Linked DNA regions of Kluyveromyces lactis. The main gene of each other region encodes a partner of the protein of the gene in region 2 in a complex. Links are inferred from orthologs where the notes say so. Each region holds a gene or a part of one and is shown on either strand. Other genes may lie near its edges.

Region 1 (9,502 bases), on a different chromosome or scaffold from region 2:
AGTTAATTGACACATGCAACCAGGTAAAGGAACAAATGGATACCCGTAGAAAGTCAATAAGAACCGGAGCTATAGTGATGTTAGGGCGGCCAATATTTAGAAGGATATCAAGAGTCAACCGCTGCAGGTTTTTTTCAGATGTACCAGATAATGCACCTGGCGCTATTGATAATGAGATATGGCTGCAAGAGCTAGCGAGCAGCCGATCTAAGCAAAAGGCTCCAACAGCAGCCGTCGAATCAACTCAGAACTTGTCAATAAAGGAAGAGAAGAAGACTTCTGTTCAACCAATGAAGGGATTAAGGAATAAGATTACATTCAATATTATATCGACGCCGCCAGATACGCAATACATCGAAATCAAATCGCCATTGTCAAACTTCACCAAGCTATCATACCTACAAAAGAATAAGAACATACGAGTTCAACAGTCGAACTTTGTTGACTTGAGAATCATCAAGTGTGCTTCAGGTAATGGCGGTGACGGATGTATTTCGTTTTTTAGAGATAGAGGGCGCGCCATTGGTCCTCCAGATGGAGGAGACGGGGGCGGTGGTGGGTCTGTGTACGTTCAGGCCATAGAAGGAATTAACAGTCTCTCAAAACTTCAGACTACATATATCGCAGATAATGGTTCTAATGGTACTTCTGCTCAGGCAGATGGATCGAAAGGTAAAGATGTAATGATTACAGTTCCGGTCGGGACGGTGGTAACATGGTGCTTGGATCCCAAAGTTGTGAGAGAGCATGTAGACCAGAAAATTAAAGAACAGGGAGGAGGATCATTGAGAACCATATTGGACACTTCCAATATCATCTTGAATTGTACAGGCAGATTTTACATGGATCAGAAACCAAACCGTATTCAAATGTTCAGAGAATCTTACGAACCTGGAAAAGGTTGGATCTTTAAGGGTAAAGATGAAGAATATCATTTATCAAAAGACTGGTTTCAAGACCTTTCCAAAAATGTAACAGAATATGATCATAACTTACTACAAACGGAGCTTGAATCTGATAGATTCCCATTATATGGATTGGATTTGAGTAAACCAACTGAGAAACCAATCTGTTTGCTAAAGGGTGGTAAAGGGGGTCTAGGTAATATGCATTTCTTAACCAGCTTGATCAGAAACCCAAGATTTTGTAAAGAGGGTAGGAGTGGACTTCAACAACATTTTATGTTTGAATTGAAAAGTATTGCTGATCTGGGACTTGTTGGACTACCAAATGCCGGGAAATCTACTATTTTAAACCAGATTTCTAATGCTACTCCTAGAGTAGGCCATTGGGAATTCACTACGTTACACCCAACGATTGGAACAATCTCACTTGGGATTGACAAACCGAAGTTCACAGTTGCAGATATTCCGGGAATTATTAAAGATGCCTCTCAGGACAAGGGAATGGGTCTTGAATTTTTAAGACACATTGAACGTTCCAAAGGTTGGGTTTTCGTGATCAGTCTTGAAAAGGATGATCCATCTCAAGATTTACAAATACTTATTGAAGAAGTGGGTGGCAAAGAGGTTGTATCATTGAAGAATATTCTAGTGGTTTGTAATAAAGCTGATATCGATGAGAAATCTACATTTAAGAAGTATCAGAAAATCCAAGCCCAATGCCAAGAAAACAACTGGGATGTCGTACCAATAAGTGCTCTCAAAGGAGAAAATATTGATGTACTCCTGCATAAAATGGCACAATGTGCTGGTAAACTGTAGATATAACACGAATAAGCGGCACATCCTTACTGGACGTCATGCTCTACTTCTTTTTCTAAGTTCCGATGTTCGAATATTGTTCCGAAATCCAATATTTTGGGCCCCCAAAATCCCATATTGGTGCATATTTGAATGAAAAAAGAAAACGGAAAGAGTCTTTAACATGTAAAATTTCTATACAGATGCGATGAGATGTGCTTTGACCTAAAGGCTGTGGTTAGTAGGAGTAACTTGTATATAAACCTCGCCAAGAGTACCTAAGAACTATAATATCTATATTAAGAGATGTCTAATTCTGAGTTCAAGTCCTTAGGATGTTCAAAATGGTTAGTGGAAGCATTAAATGCGATGAAAATCGTGCAGCCCACTGCGATTCAAAAGGCTTGTATTCCTGAGATTTTGAAAGGGCGTGACTGTATAGGTGGTGCCAACACCGGTAGTGGTAAGACTATTGCTTTTGCAGCTCCGATGTTGACCAAATGGTCCGAGGACCCTCAAGGTATGTTTGGGATCGTCTTAACACCTACCAGAGAACTTGCGATGCAGATCGCAGAGCAGTTCACAGCATTTGGAAGTGCTATGAACATCAGAGTCGCAATAGTAGTTGGTGGTGAGAGCATAGTGCAACAAGCTATCGAATTACAGAAACGACCACATTTCATAATAGCCACACCAGGTAGATTAGCACACCATGTCCTGAATAGCGGGGAAGATACCATTGGAGGGCTAAAAAGAGTAAAATTTCTGGTACTAGATGAAGCCGATATATTATTGACGGAAACGTTCAGTAAGGACCTTGCTACATGTGTAAGTATTTTACCACCGAAAAACAAAAGACAGAATCTCCTTTTCACTGCTACTATGACAGACCAAGTGAAAGCTTTATCAGACGCTCCACAGACGGAGGGCAAACCTCCTGTGTTTACTTTTGAGGTTGAGTCTGTTGATAACGTCGCCATTCCGAAGACATTAGAGACGACATATTTGCTAGTCCCAGAGCACGTTAAAGAGTCATACTTATACCAGATATTGACCAGTGAGAAATACGTCAAATCAAGTTGCATTATTTTCGTTAATCGTACCGTAACGGCTGAAATCTTAAGAAGAACTTTGAAATCTTTAGATGTAAGAGTCACGTCACTTCATAGTCAAATGCCACAACAAGAAAGAACGAACTCTGTACAAAGATTCAGGGCACAAGCTGCGAGAGTTCTTATCGCTACTGATGTCGCTTCTAGAGGTTTGGATATCCCTATTGTTGAACTTGTTGTAAACTATGATATTCCTGGCAACCCAGATACTTTCATTCATAGAGCTGGTCGTACAGCGCGTGCCGGACGCCATGGTGAATCACTATGTTTTGTAACAGAAAAGGATATTCAAAGAGTAGAGGCAATTGAGGAAAGGATTAATAAAAAGATGGAAGAGTTCACCGATGTAGGTGATACAGCCGTGATTAGGAAGTCGTTAACTAAGGTTACAGCAGCAAAAAGAGAAAGTCTCATGGCCATGGATAAAGAAGGTTTTGGTGAAAGAAGGAAACTCCAAAAGAGAAAGAATGAATCCAAAGAAAAGACTCATAGACGTACATAAACTCACATAGTTGATAGACCTATCCACATATTCCATTTAAAAATCAGTCACGTGAATTCTGATTCTTCCTTAGAGAGTAATCACTGAAAAAAAAATGGTAACTTATTCTTTGAAGCGATGAGATCGAACCAGATGAGATGCATCGGCCGCCATAAAGGTATACTCTTACAATCTAACAAGTAATACAGACTCACCAAGCCATGTCAAGAGCTCAGGAGATAAAAGAAAAGCAAGCACTACTTGCTAAATTTCAAAATGGGTTTAGCAGTTCCACTGCTAAGGTGCTCGGATGGATAGAGGATTCTAAGACGTCATCTAATGATCTAGCAAAGGAGGATAGCAACGAATCAAAGAAGGAATTTTTCCAGTTGCCTGTCATTCAAATAGGAAGCGGTTTATCATTTGAGAACGCGCAAAGTACTGATGATACCGATATACATACCATTGGAGAGTTCATCAAAAGTGATAAGAAGGTCAGCTCTTTAGCCAAAAAGAAAAGAGCTACCAAGGACGTGCAACAGAGAAACAGTATACACAGAGTGAGGAAAGACGACTCCCAGGCTATGGTTTCGTTAAAACATAAGATAAGGAATCAGGAAAGACAGAAGATACGTAACGAGCTTCCGAGAGGCACAAATGTTTCGAAAGACCACAGTAAAAACCAATATTATACCAAATCGACTTCATCGCATTCCGACTCTTCCTCGGATGAAGAAGATATGGAACCTAAAGTACAAAAACATTCCAAGAAACAATTTGGCTTGCTATTTGCTGGAAAGAAATCCAAACGTTGAACGTGTTAATCATTCTTTATAAAGTGTAATTCTCCTGTATATAGACTAGCTTAATATGCATAGATGCATAAATCCAAGGTTCAAAGTCACGTGCAAAATTTCTTTTTCTTGAGGGTTCGCAGTCTCTTTTAAGAAAAATTTTGAGAAAGCTCATCTCATCGCATCTTGTTCTTGCACAGTCTGATAGTGCTTGAAAGCTGATTAATGTCTGCATTATAGGTATTCCAGCAAGGGCAGAAGTATCCACCGAACTCGATGAATTACACTCCGTTAGATCAGAATCACATGCAACATCAGCATGCTACAGTGCTATGTTGCAGTTGTGGTGTGCCTATGGATGGGTCCTCAGGGCTAGTTATGTGTTACGACTGTATTAAGTTGAATGTCGATATTACAGAAGGTATTCCCAGAGAGGCTAATGTTTCTTTCTGTAGAAACTGTGAGAGGTTCTTGCAACCACCAAGCCAATGGATTAGGGCTTCTTTGGAATCTCGTGAACTTTTGGCGTTGTGTTTACGTCGTTTGAAAGGCTTAAACAAAGTTCGATTAGTGGATGCATCATTTATCTGGACCGAACCTCATTCTAGACGTATCCGGGTCAAATTGACCGTTCAAGGTGAAGCTATGGCTAACACTATTATCCAGCAAACATTTGAAGTGGAATATGTGGTGATTGCCATGCAATGTCCGGACTGTGCTAGATCTTATACCACTAATACATGGAGAGCAAACGTCCAAATTAGACAAAAAGTTCCTCATAAGAGAACTTTCTTGTATTTAGAACAGTTGATTTTGAAGCACAATGCCCATGTTGACACCATTTCCATTAGTGAGGCAAAGGATGGTTTAGATTTCTTCTATTCTCAAAAGAACCATGCTGCTAAGATGTTGGATTTCTTAAATGCTGTCGTACCTATCAAATGTAAAAAATCCGAGGAGTTAATCTCTCAAGATATCCATACCGGTTCATCTACTTACAAATTCACTTTTTCCGTGGAAATTGTTCCAATTTGTAGAGATGATTTGGTTGTTTTACCTAAGAAGCTTGCCAAGTCTTTGGGTAACATCAGTCAATTTGTCATCTGTTCCAAGGTTTCTAACTCTCTCCAGTTCCTGGATCCAACCACTCTTCAAACGTGTGATTTGACTGCTCCAATGTACTGGCGTGAACCTTTCAGTGCATTAGCTGAAGTGTCCCAACTAGTTGAATTCATCATATTGGACGTTGAACCTACTGGTCAAGTTAGAAACAAATGGGTATTGGCTGACGTTACTGTCGCTAGATCTTCCGATCTAGGCTCCAATGACCAAGTCTATTACGTTAGAACACATCTTGGTGGTATTATTCATCCTGGTGACAGTGTCATGGGTTACTTTATCGCTAACTCTAACTATAACTCAGAGCTCTTCGATGGTTTAAATATTGATTACGTGCCAGACATCGTTCTAATCAAGAAACTATATCAAAGAAAGACAAAGAAGAACAGAAAATGGAAGTTGAAGAGAATGGCTAAGGAACACAAGGATATCGAAGCTTCTCAAGACTACACTTCAAGACAACAGAAACAAGAAATGGAACGTGCTGAAAGAGATTATGAGATTTTCCTACAAGAATTGGAGGAAGATGAGGAAATGAGACAAACAATCAATCTATATAAGAGCAACAAACCAGCAGAGCACGAAGGCGAGATGGAAGAAGATGAAGATGAAGATGCTCCACAAATTGATATTGATGAACTATTAGATGAGTTGGATGAGATGACTTTAGAAGATCAACAACAAGGTGAAGAAATGCTATAGAATTTGGTTTAGTCTCTTCTTGTTTGGACAATAATTACAATATATATTTACGAGATAGGCAAGTTAGTTGAATTTACTCATCATCTGCATTAGATCAATGATACAATGGCCGTCTTGTATAGTGTACACTAGTGAATATTAATAATTGGCATGTTTCAGGGTAACAATGCTTTCCTGAGTTTAGTTCATTCTTGTAAAAAAGACGTCGATTCGTAATACTACCCTGATACACTATACCCTTAACTGCAGTGCATAGATAAATAAAGTAAACCAAGAAGTACTATTCTTTCTTCATGGAACAAAACCTGAGTACCAGGAAAGATGCTTAACGATCTTAAGTTTTCACCAGCTTTTAAGTCTTTTGTTGATACCTCGTTTTTCCATGAATTATCAAGATTAAAACTTGAAGTGTTCAAGTTAGACTCTGCTGAGAAAGAATTGTTCTCTGCACTAGACCTTGAAAATATCACTTCTAACACTGTTTCACTCTCGCTTAGAGATGACAGTTTCGATCCTGTTCTCAATAATGAGGCAGTGACTTTGAAAGGGTCAGTGTTGAATTTTAATACTATCGAATCATTCAAATCCTGTGACAAAGTAAAGTTTATCAAGGAAAAGGGACAGCAATTACTAGAACAGGGCCTCAAGAATGGTCTCAAAGAGTGTGTTAGGTTTTATGTCATAAGCTTCGCCGATTTGAAGAAATATAAGTTTTATTATTGGGTTTGTATGCCTACTTTCCAGTCTGAGGGGTCATCGTACGAAATAATCTCAACAAAATCAATCGAAGATGGTGTAAAGAAGGATATATGGGAGCAGAACAGCTTTATCTCCTGTGTTGTGGATGGAAAGATTCAGGAAGCATCACCTCAGTATCTCAAAGTATGTCAGAAAGTCATCTTCAAGGACTTCAGTCGGCTGAAGGGCATTCCTGCCGCAGTTACTAAGAACTTTCTAACGGTTTGGAGTCAAATATCCACAAGGAATACGTACACCATATGTTTCCTTCGTGATGATAATTCCAGCTTCGCGGCAGAGATCAGAGTTACCGGGAGCAATACAGGATGTCTTAAGGTCAGCGGTTGGGAGAAAAATGGTCTTGGAAAATTAGCTCCGAAATCGGCTGACTTAAGCTCATTGATGGATCCCGTGAAGATAGCAGAACAATCCATTGATCTCAATCTCAAGCTAATGAAATGGAGGATTGCTCCTGACATTGATCTAGAAAGAATAAAGAACATTAAAGCATTGATCTTGGGGTCAGGTACCCTAGGTTGCTACGTGGCTAGAGCTTTATTAGCTTGGGGTACTCGTCATGTAACTTTTGTCGACAACAGCACTGTCTCTTTCTCTAATCCGGTAAGGCAACCATTATTCAACTTTGAAGATTGTGGGCGACCAAAGGCCGAAGCTGCCAGTGACTCTCTGAAGAAGATATTTCCTTCTGTCGTTTCTGCAGGTTATCAATTGGAAATACCAATGATAGGACATCCTGTATCGAACGAAAGCAAGCAGAGGAAGGATTATGAAATTTTGGACGAGCTTATAAGGACGCATGATGTTATATTTCTTTTAATGGATGCACGCGAGACGAGATGGCTTCCCTCGGTGCTTGGACGAATGCATGAAAAAATAGTTATTAATGCGGCCCTTGGTTTTGACAGTTATTTGGTAATGAGACATGGCAACAATAATGACAACCTGGGTTGCTATTTCTGTAACGATATCGTGGCCCCAAGTGATTCTCTAACTGACAGAACATTAGATCAGATGTGTACTGTAACTAGACCGGGTGTTGCCCTATTAGCGGCTTCCCAGGCTGTTGAATTATTGGTGACATATCTTCAGCCTTCGACGAACGTGCTTGGGTCAGCTCCGCATCAAATACGAGGATTTCTAAATGAATTTAAAACTGTAAAACTTGAAACACCGGCATATCAGCACTGTTGTGCAAGCAATGAAAATGTCATTTTAACTCTAAAGGAAAACGGATGGAATTTCGTGAAACAGGCGCTAGATGATTATAAGTGTGTGGAGCAATTAAGTGGACTGTCGAAGGTGCAAGAGGAGGCTGAATTGGCAATTCAAGAAGATATTTCCTTTGATGACGACGAGGAATTGTCAATAGAGTGAAGTATAGCCAGTGCATCTGACAGGCTGATGCGTGGAATGATGTGACATGCATTCCTTTTGTGATGAAGCGTAGAAATCGATATTCGTCGTTAGGAAAAGGTGTTTATCTCTGATTTAACGGTCAGGATGAAATTTAGTTTTATAATTCCCAAGATAAATATAAGTCTTGCACAATTTGCAGCGTATTACGCCATGACGGGCTTGGTACACCTACATAACTGGGCCTTTTTCCGTGATCCATCAGCTTATACCAGGCATGTTTTAGATGTAGACTAAACTCGTTATCCGACTGTGGTGTACGGATGTATAAATCAACTTGAAAAATTACCAAAGCATACAAGAACGGGAATATATATTAGGTCGAGTAGACAGGATAAATAGTCACACGTAGACAAGATAAATAGTCACACGTAGACAAGAAGCTAAGCACCAAATGCCACCGAAGAGACGCCACCATGGTGCTGGAAGAGTCCAGAATAAGAGGGGAAAAGTTGACACTGTAAAAGAGGAAATCAAACCCAAAGATGAGCCTGTGGAAACTGAAATCGATGGCGGATCTGCAGTTGATGAAGATGTTACCGATGATTTAGAACACAAGACGAGCAAGGAAGACCAGAAGGAAGACCAGAAGGAAGAGGACGGACCTATAGATGCACAGAACGGAACTTCTGAAACAAAAGTTGCGGGGGAATCCGTAAAAACAGTGGAAGACAAAATCGAATCAGTTACAACGAATGAAGAGGTCGTTGAATCACCAGTCAATGACTACAATGCCAGTAGTACAACTACCAAGGCTGAAGAGAAACAATTAGAGGAAGAAGCAAATGAAAAGACGGATACATCTCCTATAGTTGAAAATGAGGTCGTTGATGAAGAGGCCGGCACAACAAAATTTGACTTTGATGGTCAAGAATACAGTTATAAAGACAGACCTAGTGTAATAGAAGAGAAGGAAGGAAAGATTGAATTCAGAGTGGTTAATAATGATAATAGCAAGGAAAATATGATGGTTTTAACAGGGTTAAAGAATATCTTTCAAAAGCAATTGCCTAAGATGCCCAAAGAATATATTGCTCGTTTAGTTTACGATCGTTCACATCTTTCTATGGCCGTGGTACGGAAACCGTTGACTGTTGTTGGTGGAATAACCTATAGACCTTTTGATAAAAGAGAGTTCGCAGAAATTGTCTTCTGTGCTATTAGTTCGACCGAACAAGTCAGAGGTTACGGTGCACATTTAATGAATCATTTAAAAGATTACGTGAGGGCAACATCGCCAATAAAGTATTTTCTAACATATGCGGATAATTATGCTATCGGGTATTTCAAGAAGCAGGGATTCACGAAAGAGATCACATTGGACAAGAATGTCTGGATGGGATACATAAAGGATTATGAAGGTGGTACCTTAATGCAATGTTCCATGCTGCCAAGAATCCGGTATCTTGATGCAGCAAA
Region 2 (13,734 bases):
ATCGGCATCAATTATTTATTTCCCATTCAACTAATCATCCAGTGAAGCTATTATTCATTGTGACTTAGCATTTTTTTTCTCTCTCATCTGGTTTTAGTATCAAATAACGATTCTTCATTTTGCATGAAAACCCTTTGTCTTCTTTTGAAAGCTTCATTTTATTTCCAAAGTTTTATGTCATTTTATTCTCGGTTTTAAGTTTTATTCGTTTGAAAAGTTCTTTGCATATACCAATCCCATCTTATATCATTATGCCTGGTCAATTGGTAAACGTCCCATTTTTTTCTCAAGTTGAGGATATGGATACCTACCTATTGAAATACCGTACTTTGAAACAGGCTTCTCAGCAGCAACAAAACCATCCATACCAAGCTGCACACAGATATAACCAACAGGTGAAATCTAATAATGGACATTACTCGAGCTACACTAATTCACAACATCAGAATCAGCACCAACAACACAATAATAATCGCAAGAAATATAATAATGGCACAACATTTACCCAGAACAATAACTACAACACAGCGTACCGTCAACAAGGTAATGCAATTAAGTACAACCAACAGTACCAACAATCAGTAACCAGCATGTACAACAAATCAGTGCATCAACAGACGTATTCTTCTGGCTATTATGCGGGTTACAATTCGACATCCAATAGCAGTTACTCTAATAGCAATATCGGCAATGCCAATTTCAATGCTCATTTGAATGATACTAATAATGGGAATGATAATGGATACAGTAATATCACTCCAACTGATGGCAACAGCGCACACAATAGCAACTTGTCTCTGAATCAACTAAATGGAAATGTTAACAATATGTCCCAGCTTCCAGCTTCTCATATACCATTCAGTCCTACTTCAAGTGTCACACCTCCTCCAATTACCCCTTCTCGCTTGTCATCTACTCTAAGTTCGGTGTCAGTTGGTTCTTCTGTAAGTAACGATATGGATCTCATGGTGCCTATGGACATGAACAATAATCGTTCCATTGGACAGCAACAAAATCGTTTCTTATCACAACAACATCAGAGTTTACAGTCTTTACCTCAACAGTATCAGCAACCACTGCATTCGCAGCCATTCCACATGCAACAGCAATCTTTTCCAACTTTTGGTAGTAATTTTATCGAACAGTCTTTCTCTCAAGGTCATGACTTTATGAACCCTTTAACACCTTCGTCATCATCAGTTACTGAAAATAATGATCCACAACTACCTTATGGAGGGGGGTTATACTCTTCAAGTTCGTTATCTTCGACTTTCATGCTCTCTGAACCAACTTCGACTTGGAATAACGACTCTTCTGCCCAACCAACTACTTCTTCTGTTTCCATCTGGAATTCTGACATGAGCGTTTGGAGTTAAAGAATTTCAACGTTTCGAAATTTATGCGATATTCCACTAATGCAACTACACAACCCATGAGTAGTTTCATCTTTCCGAAAAACTGTACATTGTAAGTTCGGTTCCCCTCTAATTATAGCCTGAAGTTTCTATTTCTTCATTTCTTCCAAACCTGGATTTTGTTTATTGTTGCAATTACCTTAAGAAGGTGACTGCCTAATTTTTCTTTTCAATGGTATGGGTACCCTAATATTTTTATTCAGTATTTGTAGAATGGTTCTACACACTTGGTATACAAGGTTTATAGTAAGGAAATTTTATAAATGGTATATACTTTCATATTAGTCAGGTAGTTAAAAGGTATTTCGGTGAATTATCCTTTGAATAATCTTAAAATAGTTTTGGATCGTAGTATGTTCATTATGAACTTATCTATTCTGTATTTACATGGATGATAGTGTGGACATGTTAGCGAAGGAATGTAATCACGGTTCAACACCAAGAAGTCTTTTGAAAGTAATTTCGAATTCTTGAGCTTGTATTCTACCTTGAGATATCCTCATGGCCTGACCGACAAGGAACTTAATAGAATTTTTCTTCTTACCAGATTTAATATCTTCAATCATTTTGTTATTGTTGAGTTCGGTAATTATACTTTCACAAATTAATTCGAGCTCTTCCGAACCAACATCTGAGACTGCATGTAGCTCAAATTCCTCAATTAGAGCATTGAAATTTATTGGCTCAGAAGCCACAAAAGAGTTCTCCTTAAAGGAATTCAAAATATGCGATAATAAAAGCTTACCACTGGCGTTGCTGATGGTTTTCTTAGAGATTAGCAAGAGTAATTCAGCAAATTTCTCCGGAGGTAGAATATGGGAAACTTTGATGAGAGGAATTTCCATCTTGTTTAGGTTTCCCAAAAGTTCATGAATTATCCAATTTGCAGGTAGTTTTCTCACGAACTCTTCGTTTTGTTTCTTGCATAATGAGTGATATGCATCAAATGTACTAAAATAGCATGCTCTTAATTCATCATGGGAATACAAATCATCATGGCCATTACTATTGATTGTGAGAATTTTTGCATCTTTTAAAGTTAGACCGTAGGGCTCTTGCATTAACATCATACAGGTATCGTCTGGTAACGTTGGAATTGTCTTTTCTACTCCTTCAACTATTTCATTGGTTAAAAGAATATTTGGTAGTTCTGGATCCGGCATATACCTGTAGTCTATGATACTTTCCTTAGTTCTGAGTTTAACAGTTTCCGAACCTGTCCATCCCCTAGTTTCTGTGTGTTTGAGTTGGTCACCTTCGCCTTTTTCTATCATGTTAACTTGTCTATTGTATTCGTATTTGATAGCATTAGTGATTGAGCTAGTATTTGGTAAATTCTTCAACTCTACTCTGGCGTAATCATTAATAGAAAGATTTACATCAACCCTCATCGCGCCCGTTTCAAGGTCACCTGTAGATATCTTCAAATGTCTGACAAGGTTTTGATATTTCTTGATGAAAGCTCTTATCTGTTTTAGGTCTGTAAAATCGGGTTCAGTCACCATTTCGATCAATGGCACATTCGAACGATTTAAGTCGATTTTTGTATTGGAGTCAGTAGAGTTATATACAGATTTACCTGTATCCTGTTCTATCTGTAACTGAATGACAGATATGTCTTTGAAAGCCTCTTCAATAGAGTCTAAATCTTTGTACAATCGTAGTTTACCTTTACTTGAGAAAGGATTGTAATGTTGTGTGATTTGATAGCCCAATGGTTGATCACCATAGAAGTAATGTTTTCTGTCAAAATGTGAGTTTAGACTGACCTTGCATCGTAATGCTAGCGATAACTTCAATGCAAATAGAACTGCCTGCAAGTTGAGTATTGGTTGTGTTCCGGGTATCGAAACATCGAAATACGATGTATGATAGTTTGGCTTATCCACATCTGCAAACGGGCTGTTAGTTGACATTGAAAAAAGCTTATTGTCTGTATTCAGTTGAGTATGGATTTCAAGTCCGCATTTTAACTTATACTCAGGAAGAATTTTGAATTTGGAACCAGTATTCCTCTTAGCATAGTTCCTTCTAAACACCAACATTTCTGGTTATTTATAGCTTATCACTCAGTAGTATAACACCCACTAGAAATTCAAAAACAGCTAATAAGCAGTTGGTAAAATCACTAACACACAGCGCCTAAAAGCCGTTCTTTTGTCAAGTATGTTTGTCTTTATATTCATGTTCATTGCTTCTGTTAATTCAAATTTCATGTTTTTTACCCGAACCTTAGAAAATGTGCCATAAGCACGATGACAGATTTATTTAACTGACGATTGAAAGTGACATAACTTGTGCACACAGTGTATTTGGATAGTTTGAGCTTTGTTTGCCTTATTCTGTTTTATACATTTTTCATAAATATTATACACCGTTTCAGAATTATCTTGGTTTTCGAACAGCCATAATTATTGTTTCTAACTAGTTCCTTTTATCGGTGTGGAATAGAATAGAGTTTCTGTTCAAAGATTTCTTTCCGTCCGTAACCTTTTTCTTAACAGATCTACAGTGATCCAAACTATCTGGTAGTGATATTTGATCAACTTCGTCTTCGTAATAGTTACAATCTGAAATTTTCTGCTTAAACAACAGTTGGCAATCAATATCTTCATCAAAAGCACACGACTTAGCACGGAATTTTAATTTGGAGCTGGGTATCATTTTAGAAAGAGGTTCGATGTTTTCAATATGCACAGTTGCCTTTTCCGGTCCAACTGGTTCAATTTGTTGGTTATTGCACTCTGGTACTTCATTCATTGGGTTTAATATATAGAATGGCTTAACTGATTCAGGCAAGTTGGTAAAATCATCAATTGAAAACGCCTGTGAAAAATACCAATTTGGGTCCAACTTTTGGTACACTGACGGAATATAGCTAGCAGTTCGAAGGTTACCTTTTTGAGACCAGCTCAAGTTTGGTAAGCATTCCAATTCAAACAAAAAATTAGTTCTACACTTCGTCAAATCTTCATCTGAATAGTGAGCGTCTTTGATGAAATAATCACGATTTTGAATGCTTAATCTTCTTTCAAGGTCCTTAAAATTATCTTGTAATTCTTCTAACTTTAAAGAAGTCAAAACTTCTTGCTTTTTCGTATCTAACACAGTGTCCGTCTCTATATTGGTGGACAGCCTTTTGCGTTGTGGAGATTGTTTTTCGAGATGTAAGTTCAAAACCCCTGTAAGGCTGCTGCTAGCTGATTGAGGGCTTTCGTTTAAGTAAGGTATTTCAATCGGAATATTCTCCTTATTCAAATCTTCCAATAGGATATTTTTTTTTAAGCACATCCTTTTCGCCGGCTGGGTATTAACATCTTGGTTATCCAATGGGATCTTTCTTCTAAGCTTTCCGACCATTTTTGCCTTCTGTTTGAGCGAACGCTTTTCTATAGGAAAATTGCCGGGTAGTACTTTTCAAAGCAGGAGATTTAATTGATAATTTACTTAATTTTGAACTTATAATCAGGACCCAAGGTTTCTGGTATCATCTTTTATATTCCATTACCTATAGTACCAATTTATTGACATTTTGTCACAAAAGTGTCAAAATAAATGAACATGATAAAGTACCCATAGTTGCTAATACTAATATATATCGTCACGTATCACATGAAAACATACACTGGATGTTTCTTATGGGTGAAATCAAGAAACTGAATGCTTTGCAACTAGAATAAAGTTGATCTGTCGAACTGTAATGGTATTGTTGGCCTTTATGAGTTCACTATCATGTTCCAGTTTAGATCACCAGTTCCGGGTAATCATTTTCAAATTTTTTTCTTTGGTTCTCTGAATAAACAAATAAAGATGATGTTCTAAATCTACCTTGCAGAACCAGGTCTAACAGTTATGTTTCTCTAAGGGCACTTTGTCCAATTGGTTAACTGATTGCTCAGCATAAAATTTTGCTTTACTGTATCTGTGTACTTGTCTTTTTTGAATTTCGGAAATAGGGTATAGACTTGAGCTAACAGTGTATCGGCAAGACAGGACAGATGTCAATATATTCTACGCCGTTGAAAAGCAATTGGAATGGCAATGCAAACTTTGCCAACCCGTCTGCCAATGTCAACGGGCTACCGATGAATGGAATTGGCAATACCTCTTTGGTGCCTCAACAACAAGGATCAGACGGTACTATAGGAACGTACGGTGCTAATATGACAAACGTAATTTCAGGTTTAAACGGCAACACAGTAAACCCACTGAACTTTAATGCTTCACATGAGCATATTAAGGTAACGGGTCTTGGTGCTGCAAATCCTCTGAATCTTGCCTCTCAATACATTGATCATTTGTTGCGTCGTGACATTAGTACCCCGGTACTGGATGAAAGATCGTACTACAATAATGGGGTTAACTACAATTTTTCCAAGGAAGTTGGTGGATTAGGCCCATTTACTCCGTTTGAAAGACTTAATGTGATTAACATACCAGATGAAATTTTGCAGCAAGTATCTACTGCTGAAATCAAAACAAATATGGGTTTATTTCCCGATATTGAACGTTGTTGGATCACTGTTGATAGCAAGTTGATCCTCTGGCATTATAATAACCCTTCAGATTTCCAATCAATAGATGACATCAAGCATACCATATTACAAGTTGCCCTAGTGAAACCGAAACCTGATACATTCGTGGAATCAATCAACCACTTGTTATTGATAACAACTCCTTTTGACATATACATACTCGCAATTTCTTATGACAGAATCAGCGGCTCGTTCAATATCTTCAACACAGGGATGAGCGTTTCTGTTCATGGATTGGATGTACATGAAATCGTTTATTATGAGAAAACAGGACAAATCTTCTTTTCTGGTAACAGCAATGGGACCAACATTTGGGAACTTCAATATTCATCTTCAGAAGATTGGTTTAACAATAAATGCAGCAAACTTTGTTTGACACAGTCTGCTCTTTTGAGTTTACTCCCCACAAATATTTTCTCCAAGATTCCAGGCTCGGCACTTGTACAATCTTTATTTGAAGAAGATTCAAAGTATGCACAAGAATACATTACACATTTGACTGTAGACCAATCGCGTGGTATTTTGTACTCATTATCATCAAAATCAGTCATCCGAGCTTATAAGATTAATGGTAAATCCTTAGATGGACCAACTACAATCGAACCCTCTTATATTAAACGTATCATGGGAACGACTCCGGCTAGAGGAGCTGCTATCTTGGGTAACAAATATTTGAAAATAGTTAAAGTAGAGGTGGTTTCGAAAGAAGAGAATAACAATTTATTTTTGGTAGCTATCACAATTGGCGGTGTTAGGTTATATTTCAATGGTTCTGTTAATTCTGGTAGCGTAGAAGCTTTAAGATTAGAATCCATCAAGTTCCCACCAAGTTCTGTCAGTCCAGAAACCATAGAAATTGAGTTACAACAGCAGCAGCAGCAACAAACTAGAAAACTTACACCCTTCTATTCTTCCCTCAACAGTATGGAATCTGTACAGTTGAAATACCAGAAAAAATCGTCAGTGTTACTTGAAAGCTCGAAAGCTTCGTCAATTATTTCACCTGGCATTTTCTTTTCTGCTGTTACAAAACATCCAGCGGAACAAACATTGGGAACTATGGGAACACCTGTAGCAACTGTTCAAAACACTCCAATACAACATAAGCTCTTTGTCAGTGTACCAGATTATGGTATTTTGAAGAATCACGGTCGCTACGTCGAAAATTCTGTATTTTTGGATACCACCGCCCCAGTAAGAGAAGTTATCCCCATATCCTCTTTGTTCAACGGTGCCAATAAGCCAGAGGGCTATGCCAATGCTTTTGCAACTCAGTACAGTGTAGAACCATTGAAGGTTGCCGTTTTAACAAATACATCTGTGGAAATCTATAAATACCGTAACCCAGACCAGATCTTGGAGTCCTTAATTAACAACCCGCTGCCCTTCATTGTAAATTATGGGTTAGTCGAAACCTGCTCATCTGCTTTATTTGTCACTTGTAAATTCAATAAGTCAGAGTCTTTGAGATCCAATGCGTTAACTCTTTTCACTGTAGGTATACCTAATGTTGTGGAAATCAAACCAACATACAACAAATACGCGAACAGTGCGGTATCAACACTACTAGGTAAACCATCACTGAATTTGATGACCCCACAAAAAAGCTCTACTGAATTAAGCAAAACTGCCAATACTCTTTCGACACCAAATGTATCTGGTGCAAATAATTTCAACCTTGATGATGTCATCTTGTCCGCTAGATTCTACGGTACCGCTCTGTTGATTGCCAGATTATTTAGAGACATATGGGATAAAGATATTTTCCAACTCGATCCCCATGTAAAAATTAATCCGGATAATTCAGTGATGAAGAGTTCAATTAAAGGTGATAATATTATTACAAAAATCGTTGTATCAAGAGGTGATATCGAATATTATCTATCCTCAGTAATGATTTTAAACGAGTTCTTCCAATCATATGGTAATTCAATTACAACAATCACTAATATTTCTCCAATTAATGGAGAAAAGGTGGTGGATAAAGGAGAAGATGTTGCGCATCAGGCAGAAAATGTTGCTATGAACGCAGTTATCAAACTCCTTCAATCCATAAAGGAGTCACTTTCATTTTTGAACGTACTATTCGAAGAGAGTGAAGTAGATGGTTACGAAGGGCAATACTTAGCATTTGTTGACATTATGAAGTACTTGAATTTCGATATTCAATACGACTTAAGCAAGTTGAAATTCAAGGATATTTTCAATCCCAATGAACAAACCAAAAATTTAATAAGAGAGATTCTCTCCTCAATCATCAACAGAAGTATTACAAAAGGTGGATCTATTGAATACATCGCTACTGCACTTCAAGAACGCTGTGGATCGTTTTGTTCCACCGGTGATGTTCTTGGCTTTAGAGCTGTCGAGCACTTGAGAAAAGCAAAAGAAATAGGACTCAGAGATCAAGAAACACTCAACTATCACCTAACCAATGCAGCAAAGTTATTTGAAAGAATAGTTGATGATGTGTCTTTAGATAAGATAAAAGAGGCTGTAGGTATCATGTTGGAACTTAATTACTACCCAAAAACCGTCGAATTTTTGTTGAATATTGCCAATGCGATGGACAAGGGTAAATTGGCACTTCAATATGTTGCAGATGGATCTTTGGAACACGATGAAAGGAAAAAATACTACAATGCTAGAGTTTCGATCTATGAAATTGTGTTCGAAACTTTAATCAAAGTTGACCAACTAGCTGCTCTGCCTGAAAATGTTAACAATCAAGATATTCAAAAAACCCGCGATGAGGTTTACAACGTTACTTTAAAATATAACGACAAATTATTCCATTATCAAATGTATGATTGGTTGGTACAGCAAAAGTCTGAAGAAAAGCTTCTTCAGCTAGACTCAGATTTTATTCTACCATACTTAGAAGAAAAAGCAGCGAAATCCCTAGAAATTTCCAATCTTCTTTGGGTTTACCAATCCAAAAGATCGCATTTCTTGGAAGCAGCTCAAATTCTGTATTCATTAGCTATTTCGGATTTCGATATTCCTCTACAAAACAGAATTGAGTACTTGTCAAGAGCTAACGTTTTCTGTAATGGAGTCTCTCCGCCAAGCCAAAGGCAAGCCATGATTCAATTATCTGGCATGATAAAAGAAGTTGTCGATGTAGCAAGCATTCAAGATGAAATTGTCCGTGCTCTCAAGGATGACCTCAGGATTGATTCGACTGTCAGAAATGAAGCCTTGCAACAACTTGAAGGCAAAATTTTGACCGTGACTGAACTTTATAATGACTTTGCCGCACCATTGAGTTATTATGAAATTTGTCTGCTCATTTTCAAAGTCAGTGACTTTAGAAATCATGAGGAAATCATATCGAAATGGGAAGAGCTTTTCAGTTCTTTCAAGGAACATTTATCAGAGAACAATGCTACGGATGAACTGGAAAAAAGCACTACTTTCATTAGTCTAGCATCATCAACAGTGATTCGTGTTGGTAAGAATGTACGTACCAGTGAATTTGTGTTCCCAGTTGTTGATTTATTCCCACACATCTGTAGCCTAATATATGAGAACCTTCCAAAAGAACACATCAAAGCAGGTTCAATTGCATCTATTTTCATCCAAGCTGGCGTCTCATACGACCGAATGTACCATGTTCTCAAAGATTTAATTGAAACAACTACCAGCTCCAACGATATTTACGAACAAGAGATGGTTTGGCTGATTAAAGAATGGTATCACTCTGACAGAAAATTGAGAGATTTGATACCACTAGAAGAAATTCGTTCCTTCGACAAGTATTCAATTGAAAATGACCCATTGGAAAATTACAAAAAGCGCACAGGTGATAGTGTGTTTTGAGTTACTCTAACCTTTCAGCGAGATGGTAAAAAAAAGAACAGCTTTAGTTTAAAACGTCTGTTGTGGTGTTTATTTCCCTTTGTATACTATATTGATAAATAACATTTTCACCCCAATCTTAATAAACAAAACAACTAATATCAATATTGCTTTCTTATGATGTTGCGATAAGTCTTTGGTTATGGAAAGAATATATTAAACCGAATTTCGACCTGCAATCTGCTGAAGAGGTATATAAAATTGTATATTTATGAAGAACCTCTTTCGAAGTGAAAAAAAAAAGCCTAGAGATTTCATTATGGAACGGCAACATATGACTTCATCAGCAGGTATTATAAGCAACGCTTTGTCCAGATCTAGGGAACTGTTGCAGCTAGAAATATGAGAATAGGATAAATAGAAGGGAAAACATATCAGAAAGATTTCAAATACTGCTTCGGTATATATCTAGAGCAAAAGGTGTGGAAGAATAGAAAATAATAGCATCGTAGACATTCGACAATGCATTTCATCTTATCATCACTTCAATATTGTTATTCAGGTTCTTTCTTTTAGATCATCTTTTCAACAATATCTGGTTCAAAATTGTGCATTAGTTACTTGTTTTGCATCAAGCAGAACAACCTAATGGAATCATAAAAGAAAACTTAAAGGGAAGAAAGTTTAACTTAATCTCATTCCTCAGAAAACAGGGCATCGTCACCAAAAGTGTTTTCACTCGAATAGGATACATAAAGGAACCCGTCCTTATCCTTGTGTTGTTGGTAAATAGAAGACATTAAAGCTGCTGTTGGAGGTAAAGTATCATTGACAAAGATGAAAATAGCCTTTTCAGCAGGTAGCTTGATTCTCTTTCTAATTACATAAACAAATTGGCCAACAGTCAAATCTCCTGGCACCAAATATTTGCGTTTATCAATGTCTGGAATATCCGATTTGCCACCTCTTTCACAGATCACTGGAATACGGTTATGGAACTTTTGCACTATCCTTTCAGATTCAGCCTTTCTCTTTTCAAATGGGAACTCAGATTTGAATGCAGATTTCATTGCGTTTTAAAACTCTCTCCTATAATACGTAACACCGATAAAAATAATCAAACTCTCTTGAAATATTCTCCTGTCTCTATTTCAAACTAATAACCCGAAAAGATGTTTGTAACTTAACTTTCAAAAGTCTAGCTGATTTGTTCCAACTCTTGAATCGTGTTGTGTCTCTTTTTATCCGTCTTTCTGGTTCTTTCTCTCTCTCAAGAAAAAAACTTGCACGTAATAGCACTGTACTGCACTTTTCTTGCAAAACTCAAACAGATTACTGGGTAGCTAAGAAAAACGCTCTTTGTTTAGTTATCGATGATATGCGCCGCTTTGATCTTCGCGTGTGTTCCCTTTTTATACCCTTTCTGCTGTTTGGAAAATGACAAAACAAAAGTGTTCCCCCCTTAAACGGTTTGAGATGCCGTTGACCCTTAAGTCACGTGGGAAAGACAGAAAATGAATCACGTGATATCCGGGTAACAATACTATGTACGTATATATGTGTGGAAGCTGCTGCTCTATATGCTAAAGCCAGATAAGGTTTCCTCGAGCTCCTGTTGTTCTTGCTCCATCAAGGATTCGTACTCTTCCTGCAGTTCTATCAGCCGTATCAGCTCTTCATCCTCATTTAGCTGTTTTGGCTCCCTCTTTGTGGAAATATTATTCAACATAGCGGGTTCATCGGCACTATTCACGACCTCTCCTTCATCTTCTACCAGTCTATCAATCTCATCTGGCGGTATCTCGTGTTTCTGTGCTTCTTGTTGCATGTCTTGCAAGTGTCGTAGGTATTCTTGTTCCATGACGAATTGTTCCATGTCGTTTCTGTAGCTATTGATCTTCTTCTCTCTTGCCAGTTCCCGTAGTCTGCCCTTCCTTCTTTCTCTCATAAGGTCTCTAATGGGGGACGATGATGATAACGGTTGCTTGTACCTTTGATATTTGAGCTTTCGCTCTTCCAATATTTCATCAGTGATATTAGAATCGGCTCTTCCATCGTTACTTTGGACATTGTCAAGATCGGAATCGCTATCTTCTTCGTGATATCTGCCATGAACCGGACTGCTCGGTATACAGTTCATGTAGAGCTTCAAAGTTGTGGATTAACGTCTGCAATACACCGGACGGCCTGCTCCAGGCTTCTTTCCCCAGCGTACATAGAAATAACCTTAATCCTTTTGGCGTTTAATGATGCTGGTCTAGAGATATGGTTTTTTGTTCGATTAACTTCATAAACTGAAAACGCCTTAGAATTACATATACACATTATATTCGAAATAAGATATGAGATCGACTGTTGCTAGAGAATCAGCAGAGGTGATCTACGGAGCCAATAATTGCAATTAAATTAATTAAATGTGGTGAATTTATAAGTAGTACGGACGGGTTTCGTTTCACTAGAGAAACGTAACTGCTATACATTTTTTCCCACTTTATATACATTTCAACATCTATAATTTGAAAATCTTCAACTTGAAGATGGTATCGTTGATAGATAGTTCTTCATCAGCAAGTGGATTGGTTTCTGATCCTTCAGCCTTCAGGATTTCAGACCTACATGTCTTAGTCAACATGTCATGATGATCTTTGACGATATTCTCAAAGTCAATGGTATCTTTAACTAATTCATACTTGACAATGACATCATCTGTGGCTTCAAGACCACACTTCTTTCTCAGCTTTTGAACTCTGTTGATCAATTCTCTAGCAAGACCTTCAGTTTTTAGCTCATCGTAGATCTTGGTATCTAGAATGATCAAGACATCGTTATCAGTTCTGGTTTCTTGTCCGTCTTGAACAGCAGATTCAGGAAGCCCTCTAATGGCACTTAGATCACCTTTTACCAATTGAATACCTGCTACTTCAATTTCACCGGTAGACAAGTAATCCTTGACTTGGGCAGAAGTTAGAGTTGGTAGAACGTCTTTGACCTTCTTGGCATCCTTCTTCAACTTCTTACCTAATACTGGCCAGTCAGCAACTGCTCTGTATTCCACACCGTATTTTTCCTCCTCGGAAGTGATGATGATGTCGCGGACGTTCAATTCTTCAACAATGTACTTTTTCAATGCTTCGATGTCCTTTAGGTAATCTGGATTGGAATGTAGAATGACCAAGGTCTTTAATGGAGTCTTCAAAGAAATAGTCTTCTTTTCACGAATATTTCTACCAAGGTCGATAACAGATTGCATTCTCTTAACTGCTTTTTCAATATCTTCATCGTAAAGATCTTCGTTGACTTCTGGATAGCTCAAGAAGTGGACGGATCTAGAATCCTTACTGTATTGAGCCAATACTTCCTCTGGAATGAATGGTCTCAACTTGGAGTAAATGTTATCCGATAAGAATGGAGTGAATGGAGCCATAGCACGGACAAATGTGAACAATGCATCAAATAAAGTGTTCAAAGCCTTCAAACAGTCTTCGACACCACCTTCACCCTTCAAACGACGACGATTGAATCTGATATACCAATTTGTCAATTCATCAATAAAATCTAGTAGTCTTGGAACCACTGTATAAAGTTTGTAGGTGCTCATTTCTTGATGAATGTAAGCTACCAAAGACTGTAGAGAGGCAAGAATCCATCTATCCATGACATTATCCGATTTCAGGTGTGGGTTATACTTGAAGTCAACATCAGAATTCTTCTTCAACAAAGCAATTTGGCCATCCAAGAACTTGAAAGAGTTCCACCATGGCAACAAAACCTTGGAAACAACCTCCTTAACACCTTCTTCCTTGAACTTCAAAGATTCAGCCTTCAAAACTGGAGAGTTGATCAAGTACAGTCTCAAAGCATCAGAACCATATTTCTCCAAGACGATGTTTGGATCTGGGAAGTTCTTCAAACTCTTGGACATCTTCTTACCGTCAGCAGCCAAAACGATACCACTAACAATAACATTCCGATAAGGAACTTCA

What was found.
Region 1: the proteins of ATG8 (region 2) and ATG7 are in contact, whole or in part, in a crystal structure (PDB 3RUI), measured with the Saccharomyces cerevisiae proteins. The link is inferred for Kluyveromyces lactis from reciprocal best matches to the Saccharomyces cerevisiae genes ATG8 and ATG7. Residues at the interface, in NP_009475.1 of Saccharomyces cerevisiae: Arg28, Glu37, Lys38, Lys46, Tyr49, Leu50, Pro52, Leu55, Gly58, Gln59, Val61, Tyr62, Val63, Arg65, Lys66, Arg67, Pro72, Glu73, Lys74, Ala75, Ile76, Phe77, Phe79, Asp82, Thr83, Leu84, Pro86, Thr87, Ala88, Glu112; in NP_012041.1 of Saccharomyces cerevisiae: Gly333, Thr334, Leu335, Leu436, Val437, Asp438, Ser439, Arg440, Arg443, Ala460, Ala461, Leu462, Gly463, Asp465, Ser466, Tyr467, Leu468, Tyr486, Cys488, His489, Asp490, Val491, Val492, Ala493, Thr495, Asp496, Ser497, Asp500, Met506, Thr510.

What each region holds. Positions count from the first base shown.
Region 1 is NC_006037.1:455,982-465,483, reverse strand, and holds ATG7 (Atg7p), read left to right. Parts: upstream 1-6,232; coding exon 6,233-8,044; downstream 8,045-9,502. Other genes in the region: putative GTPase MTG2, read left to right, coding at 36-1,724; ATP-dependent RNA helicase DBP8, read left to right, coding at 2,010-3,317; NOP19 (Nop19p), read left to right, coding at 3,518-4,111; ribosome-binding protein NMD3, read left to right, coding at 4,367-5,911; histone acetyltransferase GCN5, read left to right, coding at 8,478-9,502. UniProt on the Saccharomyces cerevisiae protein: E1-like activating enzyme involved in the 2 ubiquitin-like systems required for cytoplasm to vacuole transport (Cvt) and autophagy. Activates ATG12 for its conjugation with ATG5 and ATG8 for its conjugation with phosphatidylethanolamine.
Region 2 is NC_006041.1:1,826,784-1,840,517, reverse strand, and holds ATG8 (ubiquitin-like protein ATG8), read right to left. Parts: upstream 10,822-13,734; coding exon 10,447-10,821; downstream 1-10,446. Other genes in the region: KLLA0_E20681g (uncharacterized protein), read left to right, coding at 252-1,376; glutamyl-tRNA(Gln) amidotransferase subunit PET112, read right to left, coding at 1,841-3,460; KLLA0_E20637g (uncharacterized protein), read right to left, coding at 3,840-4,775; NUP170 (Nup170p), read left to right, coding at 5,414-9,772; RTT105 (Rtt105p), read right to left, coding at 11,328-11,891; isoleucine--tRNA ligase ILS1, read right to left, coding at 12,261-13,734.